3 linked regions of the Nothobranchius furzeri genome follow. The protein of the gene in region 2 purifies or fractionates together with the protein of the main gene of each other region. This does not show direct contact. Links are inferred from orthologs where the notes say so. Each region holds a gene or a part of one and is shown on either strand. Other genes may lie near its edges. The genes, in order: kctd10, usp25 and btbd9.

What was found.
Region 1: the proteins of usp25 (region 2) and kctd10 purify together in Homo sapiens (affinity purification with mass spectrometry; 4 studies listed by BioGRID and IntAct, counting the BioPlex papers as one, with this or other methods). This does not show direct contact. The link is inferred for Nothobranchius furzeri from reciprocal best matches to the Homo sapiens genes USP25 and KCTD10.
Region 3: the proteins of usp25 (region 2) and btbd9 purify together in Homo sapiens (affinity purification with mass spectrometry; 3 studies listed by BioGRID and IntAct, counting the BioPlex papers as one, with this or other methods). This does not show direct contact. The link is inferred for Nothobranchius furzeri from reciprocal best matches to the Homo sapiens genes USP25 and BTBD9.

What each region holds. Positions count from the first base shown.
Region 1 is NC_091757.1:45,363,616-45,367,368, reverse strand, and holds the start of kctd10 (BTB/POZ domain-containing adapter for CUL3-mediated RhoA degradation protein 3), read left to right. Parts: upstream 1-1,229; 5' UTR 1,230-1,364; coding exon 1,365-1,367; intron 1,368-2,026; coding exon 2,027-2,240; intron 2,241-2,330; coding exon 2,331-2,500; intron 2,501-2,629; coding exon 2,630-2,716; intron 2,717-3,753. Other genes in the region: ube3b (ubiquitin-protein ligase E3B), read right to left, coding at 1-85. UniProt on the Homo sapiens protein: Substrate-specific adapter of a BCR (BTB-CUL3-RBX1) E3 ubiquitin-protein ligase complex. The BCR(BACURD3) E3 ubiquitin ligase complex mediates the ubiquitination of target proteins, leading to their degradation by the proteasome.
Region 2 is NC_091750.1:42,789,489-42,793,241, reverse strand, and holds the start of usp25 (ubiquitin carboxyl-terminal hydrolase 25), read left to right. Parts: upstream 1-1,331; 5' UTR 1,332-1,509; coding exon 1,510-1,551; intron 1,552-3,753. UniProt on the Homo sapiens protein: Deubiquitinating enzyme that hydrolyzes ubiquitin moieties conjugated to substrates and thus, functions in various biological processes including inflammation and immune response.
Region 3 is NC_091742.1:14,670,907-14,674,659, forward strand, and holds the start of btbd9 (BTB/POZ domain-containing protein 9), read left to right. Parts: upstream 1-1,497; 5' UTR 1,498-1,638; intron 1,639-1,959; 5' UTR 1,960-1,974; coding exon 1,975-2,168; intron 2,169-3,753. Other genes in the region: uncharacterized protein, read left to right, coding at 1-51, 131-226.

The sequences.
Region 1 (3,753 bases), on a different chromosome or scaffold from region 2:
TCTCTTTCTGTCCCTTTCTTTCTTCTCTAGCCTGCCTGGCTTTGTCCAGGAACTCGGACTTGGAGCTTTGAGGGACACTAAACATTGTGCACCCTAGAAATATATAAAATAATACAAACCATGAAGCTTCTGCAGTCTGCGTGATGGTGTTGATGGCTATTTAAAAAGGCGTTCCAGCCGGTATGTTTACATCCCATAAAGTAGTTGTTTGAGCTTAATGATGAATTTACCTGAGTCTGAAGATGGCAAGATGTTGTTTGGCCTTCAGCCTCACCTGTCGCTATACTATTTCAATCATTTGGCTGTCTGTGACATCCAAACATGAGGAAGGCAAAAGAACAAGAGGGCTAACTTGGCATCTTTGAAGCAAATAACGACACAGTGGAGGGTGAAGCAGCGACTGTTAGCTCTCAAGAGCTAGTTTGCGACTTGCCAACTATAAGGTAAATTTTACATACATTCAAAGATACATAGCATTGTTTTAGGCTAATATATTATCCTGTATCGATGTCAATTTTTCTAACGCAAGAAACACACCGTTTTGAAATGTAAACAATGAGATGAGATCCCTTCATTGACTTCAGCCATTAATCCCTTGTGCCGCTCGAAATGATTCCGGGCAACCTTTATGCTCGTAAACAAATGACAATAAAAGATTTAATACAATTTTAAAAATCTCAAATTTGCCAAATGAGCTCATTTTTATGTAGTAAAAACGGGTGACTTTCGGCTTTTTGTGGTGAATATAGATTTCCTCTGCTGAGTTGGGTGGGCTACGGAGAGGGGACTGTTTTCACTGTTACTCCGTCAGCGGAAATGTCCAGAGTCAAGGAAGTGTCGTTTTCCTAGTTTGTCGTTAACCAAAATTAATGTACAAAATATGGGAAAATTACAGTACTGCTAAATTACTGTTGTCATTTATATTTATTTGAAAATTCTATAATATTTACAAAATAATATAATCGGTCTGTGATAACGTCATTTTCACGGTACAATCGGTGTTGTGTCGAAAAATGTACCCTACCACCCTGTTCTGGAAAGAAGCATTTTAAGCGTTATTCAGAATTTCTTTTCTACAATTGTCCTAAAATATTTAATTTAACAGTTGAAATATTTATGTTGATAAATGATGCGAATGTTATAGTTTTGCAATACTCTGGTGAAAAATAATCGTCCCGTTTGTGTATAATTATAATCCCATCTTTAGAAACTAAGAATGCTGATAGTAAAGAATAATTCAACCTTTTCATCAGTGTCGGGCCCTGTCGCCGCAGAGGTGCTTTTTTGGGCACAACACCGGAAGGAAGTAGGTGTTAGCTGACTGGCGTTGGCAAGCTACGCTTACGAAGTCTGCTGTGGGTTCTATGGTAAATATGTATTTACATTTACAAAGGCAAATTCATGTTGCGCTACTTACATTATATGAAAGGACATTTTATAGAGTTCGTTCGACAGTAATTGTTGACATTTGGTAGTGAACCCTATCGGTATCAGCTAATGCTAACTTGCTTGCTAGCTCACAGTGGCCATTACAATAAAGTTAAATGTTTTAGAAAAAGAACTACGTATCAGCTTTACAAACAAAATATAAAACGTTCTTTGTAAAGTACGATCGTCGGGTTTCTCGTAAAATCTAAAGCTGTTCTCTTTGCGATTTTCACAACTTCAGCAATTGTTCAGTTATTTCCAATAGTTTTTGTAAATAATGCGATATAAAAGTCTCATATTTAGACATCTCTGCTCATTTAATCCTCCCTATTGACATCTAAAATTATTAGATTAATGCCACAGATTATTTTATTTATTTAAACAAAAATCGAAATATTCAGTACATTGTATTGTAAGCAGTGAGGCCACAGTGGTTAAATGGCCTAAATAAACATAATCAAGATGACCAAGATCACACTTATCAAAATTAAAGTTTCCGATCATGTGAAAACACAACATAATGTCTGACTGATGTGCGAATATGAGAGTTTTTTGTTGAGATCCATATGTCACATTATTTTATCTCTTGTTGCTCCAGGAAGAGATGTCAGGAGAGAGAGTGGTGAGCTCGGCAGTGCCGGCAGCTACAACACGGACCACGTCCTTCAAGGGCTCCAGCCCCAGTTCAAAGTATGTGAAACTAAATGTGGGTGGAGCTCTGTACTATACTACAATGCAGACTCTTACCAAACAGGACACGATGCTCAAAGCTATGTTCAGTGGCAGGATGGAAGTGTTGACGGACAGCGAAGGTGAGCCATGGATATAAAGTTTGAGAGATGTTTGTCATTGCTGATTTGACCTTTGACAAGGCTTAATCGCTCATCATTTCATATTCATAGGTTGGATTTTGATTGATCGCTGTGGGAAACACTTTGGAACAATCCTTAACTACCTTAGAGACGGAGCTGTCCCGCTCCCAGACAGCCGTCGAGAAACTGAGGAGCTCCTTGCTGAAGCCAAGTATTACCTGGTCCAAGGCCTTGCTGATGAATGTACGGCTGCTTTGCAGGTAACAAGTTTATTTACTTGGCATAAATTCTAAACTGCATAATAATAATGTTTAAAAAGTTTTTTAAATGGGCTTAATGTGTCTTTATGTTTTTTTTATTTTAAATTTAAAAATTATTTTTCATTTCAGAACAAAGAAACATATGAACCCCTTTGCAAAGTGCCTCTCATGACATCATCTAAAGAAGAGCAGAGACTCATCGCAACCTCAAAAAGGGTATTTGTATTTTTTATGTAAATTTGGGTTGGGACAAAATATTTGACCGTCGACGAACGGGTGAGCCGTTATGGTTGTTTTTACAAGAGGCTATTTGTTTATTTATTTGTTTGGCCGTGTGTACGTTTGTTAATGGCTCATGCACTTGCACAGATATTTTACATGTTGCGCACAGAGAACATCACAGAGGTAATGCAATCAATCAAGAAAAGATTTCCATCAGTGCATTTGAGTATTATCTCACACATTCTCCACATCCTGCTACTGACAGTGCTCATTACAGCACGCTGAAGAGGAGCTCGGAGTGCATCTGTGATGCACTCGGCATTGTTCATAAGAGCGCGATATTAAGTGCTTCTAGATCTGGGAAGTGGAAACCTTTCCATCTTTCAGAGAGTCCGGTAGACTTCTGGTTATTTCATATGAAGAATTGTTTCCTGATTGTAAAACTTTGGCTGAAGTTGCCCTCATTTTTCAGCACCCACTTCGAATCCAGCGTGGCAGCAGAGCAAGGATTCATCCAGAACAGCGTTTAAACAGCCATGAGTCTGTCTGGGGCAAAAGCCCAGGGACCTCATTTATCAAGCTTGCTTACGCACAAAACGGGGTCGGAAAATTGCATAAGCAACTTTCCATGCAAACTTTGGGATTTATGAAAGAAAACTTAGTGGGAAGTTGACTAAGGACCTTGCTTACGCACATTCTGGACATGGAGAGCACCTGCAGTGCTGCTGCTGAGAAGGATACAATTATGAAATCCTGCAGCATTATCACTTGTACTGCTTCGTTTTCACACAGAACAAGTGAAAGGAAGGGCTTTTTCAAAACAAATAAGAGAAAATCCACGAAGTGGCACAGTGTTGCTGAAAGCCGTCAATGTTGTGAATTCTTCAGAGAGATCTGTGGAGCGCGTGCACACACACACATACACACACACACACACACACACACACACACACACACACACACACACACACACACAAACACACACACACGCACACACACACACACACACACAGCCTGAAGCGCAGAATACG
Region 2 (3,753 bases):
AACACCACCATAGCAGCTCACCCTGGCCAACATCATGCGTCCATTAATATTTATATGTGCTACTTTATCGACACAGTTCCTGCTGATGGCTTCACTTCTAGCAAAATGGATTCCTGAGCATCAGAAGAGCGCCCTGGTTTTGAGTCAGACGAATAATCTCCCCAACATTTGGATGATTTTTCTGGCTGAATAATTAGGCCAGACTCCGAAAGGCTGACTTCAGGGGTTTTCTTCACAATTAAAAGTTTTTGATGTCATTCTGACAAAAGTTGTGATGCATTTTTGTTTTGTCAACCAGAAAACTAACATGTATTCGATAAATGTGCAGAGGTGTCCCAAAAGTGTGGTTTAATGTGAGGACTGAAGAGTGAATAAAAAAAGGACAATAAACTGATCTAAACCACTGGTTCATGTGAGACACATCCACACAAAAACAAATCTTCCCTGATAGAAATGAAACACACTTCCAAACAGTGATTGTCTGGAACAGAAGTGATTGTTGGATTATTCTTTTAAATGAATAAAAATAGAAAAACAAATCAGCAGTAGATGCACAAGAAAAACAATCTTTAAAGGCTTAAAATCCCTTTTCTGTGTTGCTTTTTGTTGATGGAAATGATAAAAAGCTTTTGGCTTTTGTTTCCACACTTCCAGGTGAGGCTGCTTTTCAAAAATGTATTTACCAGGTTAATAATAATAATAATAATAAGCCCCTCTGAATGCATGTTCTTTAAAAATGCCGCTCAAGTTAAGTGCTGGACTAGACAAAGTCACAGGAGACAGAAGATCGTTTTTTCTGTTTTTAAGTGTTTTGGATGCTTTGGCTTCATCAGACAGTCGCGTTATCCAGTGGCGTGTCCAGATCTTTTAGAATGGGGGTGGCCCAGATGAGGCACTACTTTGTGCATGGGTGACACCAATGGTTATGCTTCTTTTTTTTACCCCAAGCCTTTTGTGGACAATGAAAATACTATTTAAATGGAATTCAGTGTGGTGACACATGGGGTGGCCATTCAGATTCCAAGGGTGGCATGTGCCACCCCAGGCCACTCCCTGGACACACCCCTGGCGTTATCCTACACACTGATGGAGAAAGCTGCCTTTGCCAGGAATTTGGTTACAAAAGACACTAGGTCATTGAATTTGGGGACTATTTTGATGTTACCGGGTGGAAGATGATGGTCCATCTATCTGATTTTAAACAGATTATGGTTGTTTTTTCTCATTATAAAATTTGATAAATACAGTCAGACGGGTGAACTGCATTTCTATTTCTCACCCGTGACGTTGACGCAGTCGAGTCAGACGAAAGTAATCGATCCCAGCTCGTCGGCGGGCTAGAGCAATGTTTTCACGAGCTGAGCTAGTTTCTCTGCCATGGCGCCCGTAGTGTCGCTGGTTAAGGTGGGGACTTCGTAGCATCTTGTTTTGATTCGCTTCAGGAGCGAGTGCAGCTTGTGTTTCGCTGCTCCTAGTTGGACCTGACTCACATTTACCCCCGAACCGGCCATGACCGTGGAGCAGAATGTCCTCCAGCAGCATTCTCAGAAGGTATGCTGGCAGAAGATAACTTCAGAGCTAGCAAACTTTAGCATAATGCATAGCTTCAGAGTTTCAGGACACAAAGAATTTACAGCATCACTGTGTTGAGACGCTGGATAGTTGAGTTGGTTTTAAAGCGTTAGATGTCCTAATGGTTGGCCTTCCACGCTTGAGCTAAAGCTTTAAAGTCCTGTGTGGTAGCAGCAATTTAAAGGCCCAGCTTTGCGCTGCTGTTTGTTTACTAGCGTTAGCTAACGGTCCGCGCTAAAGGCGAGTTTACCCTAAACCCTGGCCATCTGTGGAGGTCCGGTCACGTTCGCCATATTTAGTCATTTATTGATAAAAAACAAACAACGTGGCACTCGAGGATCTAAATACGTAAAGATTTTAACAAGAAACCCAATCAAACGACACCCTTAACTGGCGTATTTAATTTTATTTTGGGACTTTGTAAATAACGTCGTTCCCTTTAACAAAAATGTTCACATTTCTCTTAAAATGTTAATTTTATTTGTGAATTGTATTCCAGCTTACCTATGATGTATCTGATGTGTTTGTTTACAAAACACGGCTAACTGGAATTCCACCCCAGTCCTGCCGCTTGGCGGTGATCCACAGCTGCTTCACAGCTGGACACGTTCTTTATTATCATCGTCCCAACCCATCATACTATGGCGAGTGATTTCTGATCACCAGCCGGAGAATGATGGGACGGGACGATGATCAAAAAAGAAGAAGCGCTGGGAGAAGCACGTCGCCTCTGTAACGTGGAGAAGTGCTTCTTCGGCAAGCTCTAACACATATTGGCCACTAGGGGCAGCAGTGGGCATTTTCAGTGGGTTTTTGCCATTTCCTGTTTATTTGTTACAACATAAAATAAACTAATAAATTCCCTCATGGAATTAGCCTGTTCTTTACATAACTGATATCTTTTCACTAGGGGTTCACCGGTATCGGGCCGATACAATACCATCCCACATATGTTGGGGGAGTTCAGATGGCGCTCGCGCGGGTTCACGAAGCGAGCTGCTCGTCCTCTTTACGCAATGGAACCTTGCGTTTTATTGGCTTTTGCGTATTTTGTTGTCTCTGATGCTTTTTTTGAATGGTGTGGCTTCTCTGGTGACTTATGATCGAGCTGTGCGGCTGAGGCTTCGTCCTCCTGTTGATGTAGCGGGTGCTGCGCGCTGGGAACCTCACGGATGGCGTTGTTGTTTGGACTGCCCGTGTGCTCTCTCCCCCCAAGCCATGATGTGTTGGCCCTCTGTCCGCCCCAGCTCGAGAAGGAAGCATCGTATAAGACGGGGAAAGCGAGGTAGCCTTCGCGTGAGACGTCGGGCTGGACTTCCTGGATCCCTGAAGAAGCGGCTGGTCCAATTCGGCCCAGCTTGTGACCCGGTGGTTCCGAGACGTCTGATGGTTTACTCTGCGCCCTGCCTTGTGATCTTGGCCGGCTTTGAGGGTGAGCTGGCACCGTGCCACGGCCAATCGGCTCGAGGACCTCGCCAGAGTGGGGTTTGCTGGGAGAATCTACGCTCAGTTACGGGCTCAGAGTTGGAGGAGACGGTGCCTGTACACGATCCAGGTGCTGTGGCCCCGCCGCAGACCCGGTTTGGTCTGGTCAATCCCAGGTCTGTGCAGAACAAAACTTTCATTCTTCGGGATTTTTTTATTCAACATGACTTGAGTTTTTTGTGCATCTGTGAGTCCGTTTGGTGACTCAAGCACCATGCTGGAGCTGGTACCACCTGGCTGCTCCTGTTTTAATATCCCCAGATCGTCGGGCAGAGGTGGTGGGCTGGTTGTGTTTTAAAATCCAGCTTTCCTTGTAAACAGCTTACACTCACCATGTCATTTTCTTCTCTTCAACTGTGCCTATTTGAACTGCATCTCCCCCCGCCTGCTCGTCGTGCTAATTTATCGCCCTCCAAAGACTGACTCTAACTTCCCGTAATGATTTCTATGATCTTGTGGCAGACTGCATCCTAAAATATGACTATGTCCTATTTTTGGTGATTTTATCATCCATATCTGCTGTCCTGACAATGTGCTTGCTAAAGGTTTTCTGAATTTGCTAGATTCATTCAATTTAACTCGATGGGTATCGTCCCCTACTCATGCCAGGGGTCACACCCTGGACCTGGTTCTCTGTTTTGGTCTCCCTGTCATGAACCTTGTGACGTTGCCTCCTGTGTTCTCTGACCACTCTCC
Region 3 (3,753 bases), on a different chromosome or scaffold from region 2:
GCCTACGCCTCCATCAGCTACACCAAGAAACCCAACAGGAGCAGCAGGGAGGTGAGCTCTCTCAGAAATTCATGGTTGTTTTGGGAGGTCACAGGAGGTCATCTTTCCTCTCATTTTTGTTTTTTTGCAGATTAATGTTGACGTTGATGTCACTTACAGCGTGGTGAAAGCTCCGCCCACTGATCCCAACAGCCTCTATGCTTCAGTCGTAGAAAAACCTAAATAATAAATAATAAAACTCTGCTGGTCTGATAGCAAAGCCTCATCAGTTAATGGAAGATGTTTTTCATGGTTTTTGTTTATTTTAAAGCTTTGTTTTCTTTTAGCGTCATCTTTAAAGTAACTCATCAGTATTTAACCCGGACTGTATTATGTAACAGTTTGATATTTAATTAGACTTTTTACTTTAAGCGATGGGCGTGACAGGAACATGTTCAGATGTCATGAAGGATGTGATTCAGCAGAGCAGCTGTGAGATGTAAAAATCCAACTCATGAAGAAACTTGTTGTCACGGAGACGCAGGATGAGTGACAGCTCTAAAGATGCTTTTTACAGTCATGCATGTTTTCTTTTCACCTCTTCTTACACACATACACATGTATTTATGCATGTAATGTTTTAGACTTATTTTGTATTTTTAACAGATTCAGATGCAATATTTTGACATTTTCTTTTATTTTTTTTTTGTTTTGTTTAAATGCTCATTTTCTTGTAAAAGTCTTAATGCTTCAGATGGTTCAGTTATTGATATGATGACACCTGCTGGTAAAATGGCATCCATAATAAAGACACATCAGTTTGTTTCACATAAATCTTAATTATTTTCTGTCAGATTTTTTACTTTGCATATTTATCTAACTAATTATGTACAATATAATATATATTTAATAAACACAGTTGTATAGTATTTGTTTTTTATGTTTCCTTTTTAAGTTCCTTCTGATAAATTTGCTACATTTTCATTTTTTTATCAAACATCTTTGCACACGGATATTTTTAAGAGTAGCGGAAAGACAATATAAGCCTTTGTGAATTATTTTAATGACAAATTTGATCATGTTGGTCAGAAATCAAGGAAACTTTTTTTTCAGTGGTTTCCAAAGTAGGGGTCAGGACCCACTGAGGGATACTAAATGCTAGACTGTTGGTGTCATTGAATGATCAACTAAAATAAAACTAAAGAGTCAGCAAAAAACTGTTAATTTTCATAATAACAGTCAATAATATATGATAATAAAAATGATAACCAAGTTTAGCAACCATTTGACATGAGATATTCAGCTAAAATACAGTGTAGCAAAATATGTAATATATGTAAAGGTTCTGTGAAGCTAAACATTATTTCAATTTAATTTAATTTAATTTAATTTAATTTAATTTAATTTAATTTAATTTAATTTAATTTAATTAACAATGACCTTCCGATCCAGACAGTGGCGCTGTTGCTGCTATGTAGCAACATTTTACTAATCGGAAGTTGTTTGCTGACGTTTCCGCGTCACTCCGTTTCCAAGCTGCTGTTATGGTGGAAGGGTCGGGAATTTGGTGCATTTCTTTCTCCATATTGGAAAACTTAGCCCCAGCTGTATTTTTGTACTAACTTTGATCAAAAGACAGGAGTGAATGGTATCTGTTCGGTAAGTAGGAGACGCAGAATGACGTTAGACAGAGATGCTAAAGGGTAATTAGCTGTTTGCTAAATGTCGGCGACGACACCGGCATCGGCTAGCTTCCAAACAACTTCTCTATTATTATTTTTTATGTTTAAATACTTCAAATGCAGCGGTGAGCATGTGTACTTTAGTCTGTTGTTTTAACCTAACCGCTATGTTTTTGGCGCTGCGGTTAGCATCTAGCATGAGCTAACTGTGAGAGCGACGCCTTCGCGGGTTGTTTCTCTTTGACTTGTTTACTGTTTGTGACGCCGGTTTGAGGTTGCTGTGCTTTTTATGTGACAGCTGTAACTCTGTTGGATGTCGACCATGAGCAACAGTCATCCCCTGCGGCCGCTGGCCTCCATTTCGGAGATCGATCACATCCACCTGCTGTCAGAGCAGCTGGGAGCGCTGGTGCTGGGAGAGGAGTACAGCGATGTCACCTTCATCGTGGAGGGGAAGCGGTTCCCGGCTCACCGGGTCATCCTTGCTGCTCGCTGCCACTACTTCAGGTGAGTCTACGTGTTTGCATTCCTGGATTAGTCATCACACGTGGTTTTGGTCACTCTTCCGGCTGCTGAGGTTAAAGCTCAAAGCAAAACAAACACAACAGTTTACCACTTAAAATTAGTTCAGGCTGTTGTGAATTTATGAACTGAGTTAAATAGAGAATTTCTTTTTCTCAGATTGGCAGCATGTTAAGCTAAGAAAGTAAAGATCTGATGTTTGAGTTTCACCAACCATGTTGAATCTGATTATCTTTTCTGTTCTACTCATCCTTTTTTCAAACTTTATGTAAAAGTTAACTAATAAATATTAGGGTTTGATTTGTTTTCAAATGTTAAGCAAAAAAATTGTTTCACAGATAAACTGTATTCATCCTGATTTGTTTTCAGGTTTTATAATATAAACATTTACCTGATGCAATGCAATTCAAGTTTATTTATACAGCACAGCATCAAATCACGACAGGAGTCGTCTCAAGGACTTTCACACAGTAAACATCCCAATACAGGTCAGTTCATTAATCCAGTCAGTAAAAAGTTTCCTGTAAGGAAACCAGCAAATTGCATCGAGTCACTGACTAGTGTCAAGAGTCTTTACAGCAATCCTCATCCTAAGCACGCATGTGGCTACAGTGGAGAGGAAAACTTCCTTTTAACAGGAAGAAACCTCCAGAGGATCCTGGCTCAGTATAAGCTAGGGTTGTAGCGAAGCTTCAATGACGTCGACGGCTCGATTCTAAAAATTCGTCGACATCAGATTCGGTAGTCGACGCACCGCGCCCACTTGTTGCATCCACAGGAGTTTGTAAATAGAGGAGAAATCTGCCTGTTTTCCCTCTAGTTCGCCCTCTTCTCCGCCTTCACTAACATCTCCACCAAATACCGAAGACCCGGCAAAATGTCCGTCCGCTACTAGATTCCTTTCCTGTTTTGTCCGCCTTCGTCTCTCGGCAACGGACACCAACTTCCGGGGTCAGATGCGCTGCATCGTCTCTACCGCAGATGTGGAAAATCACTGGTAGAGTTTCTCCCTTCATTAAGGAGCTTCTTTCAGACATCAGGAGAGCTGTTTTGGTGGTAGCAGTCTCTCCTCCGTGCTGGTCTGTTTGCTGCTGGGTATTTTTGGTTTATTTAAACTTGGTAACTTGAACTTAACGTTGGTAAAGCTACTGTTAGCATTTTCGCTAACAGCTTCTTGCGTTGGGATAAGCTGTTACGTTTTGGTTTAGAGTTCATCTTTTTTGTGGTGCAGATCTCCCTTTTATTACATTTAGAGTGTTGTGGGTTTTCGGTTTAGTTTAAAACATCACCTTGAGTTTGGTTTAACCGCCCAGTTTAGAGTTTGGACCTTTGGAGATGCTTATTTTTTTTCCAGAACCCTGTAATCTTTGCCCAGTGGGACATCCCTACTTATTTGTACTTTTGTTTTAATTCCCCACAGGCAGAATTAGTTTTATTATTCCCAACCTGTGGATGGAAAGATTTATGTTTTGTAGTTGTAAATAAACCTGATCATCATTTTAACTTTTAAATCCTGCGTTATTGTCCCTTCCTTTTTGCACACGAGCCAAACTCCCCAGGAAGAGTCGTA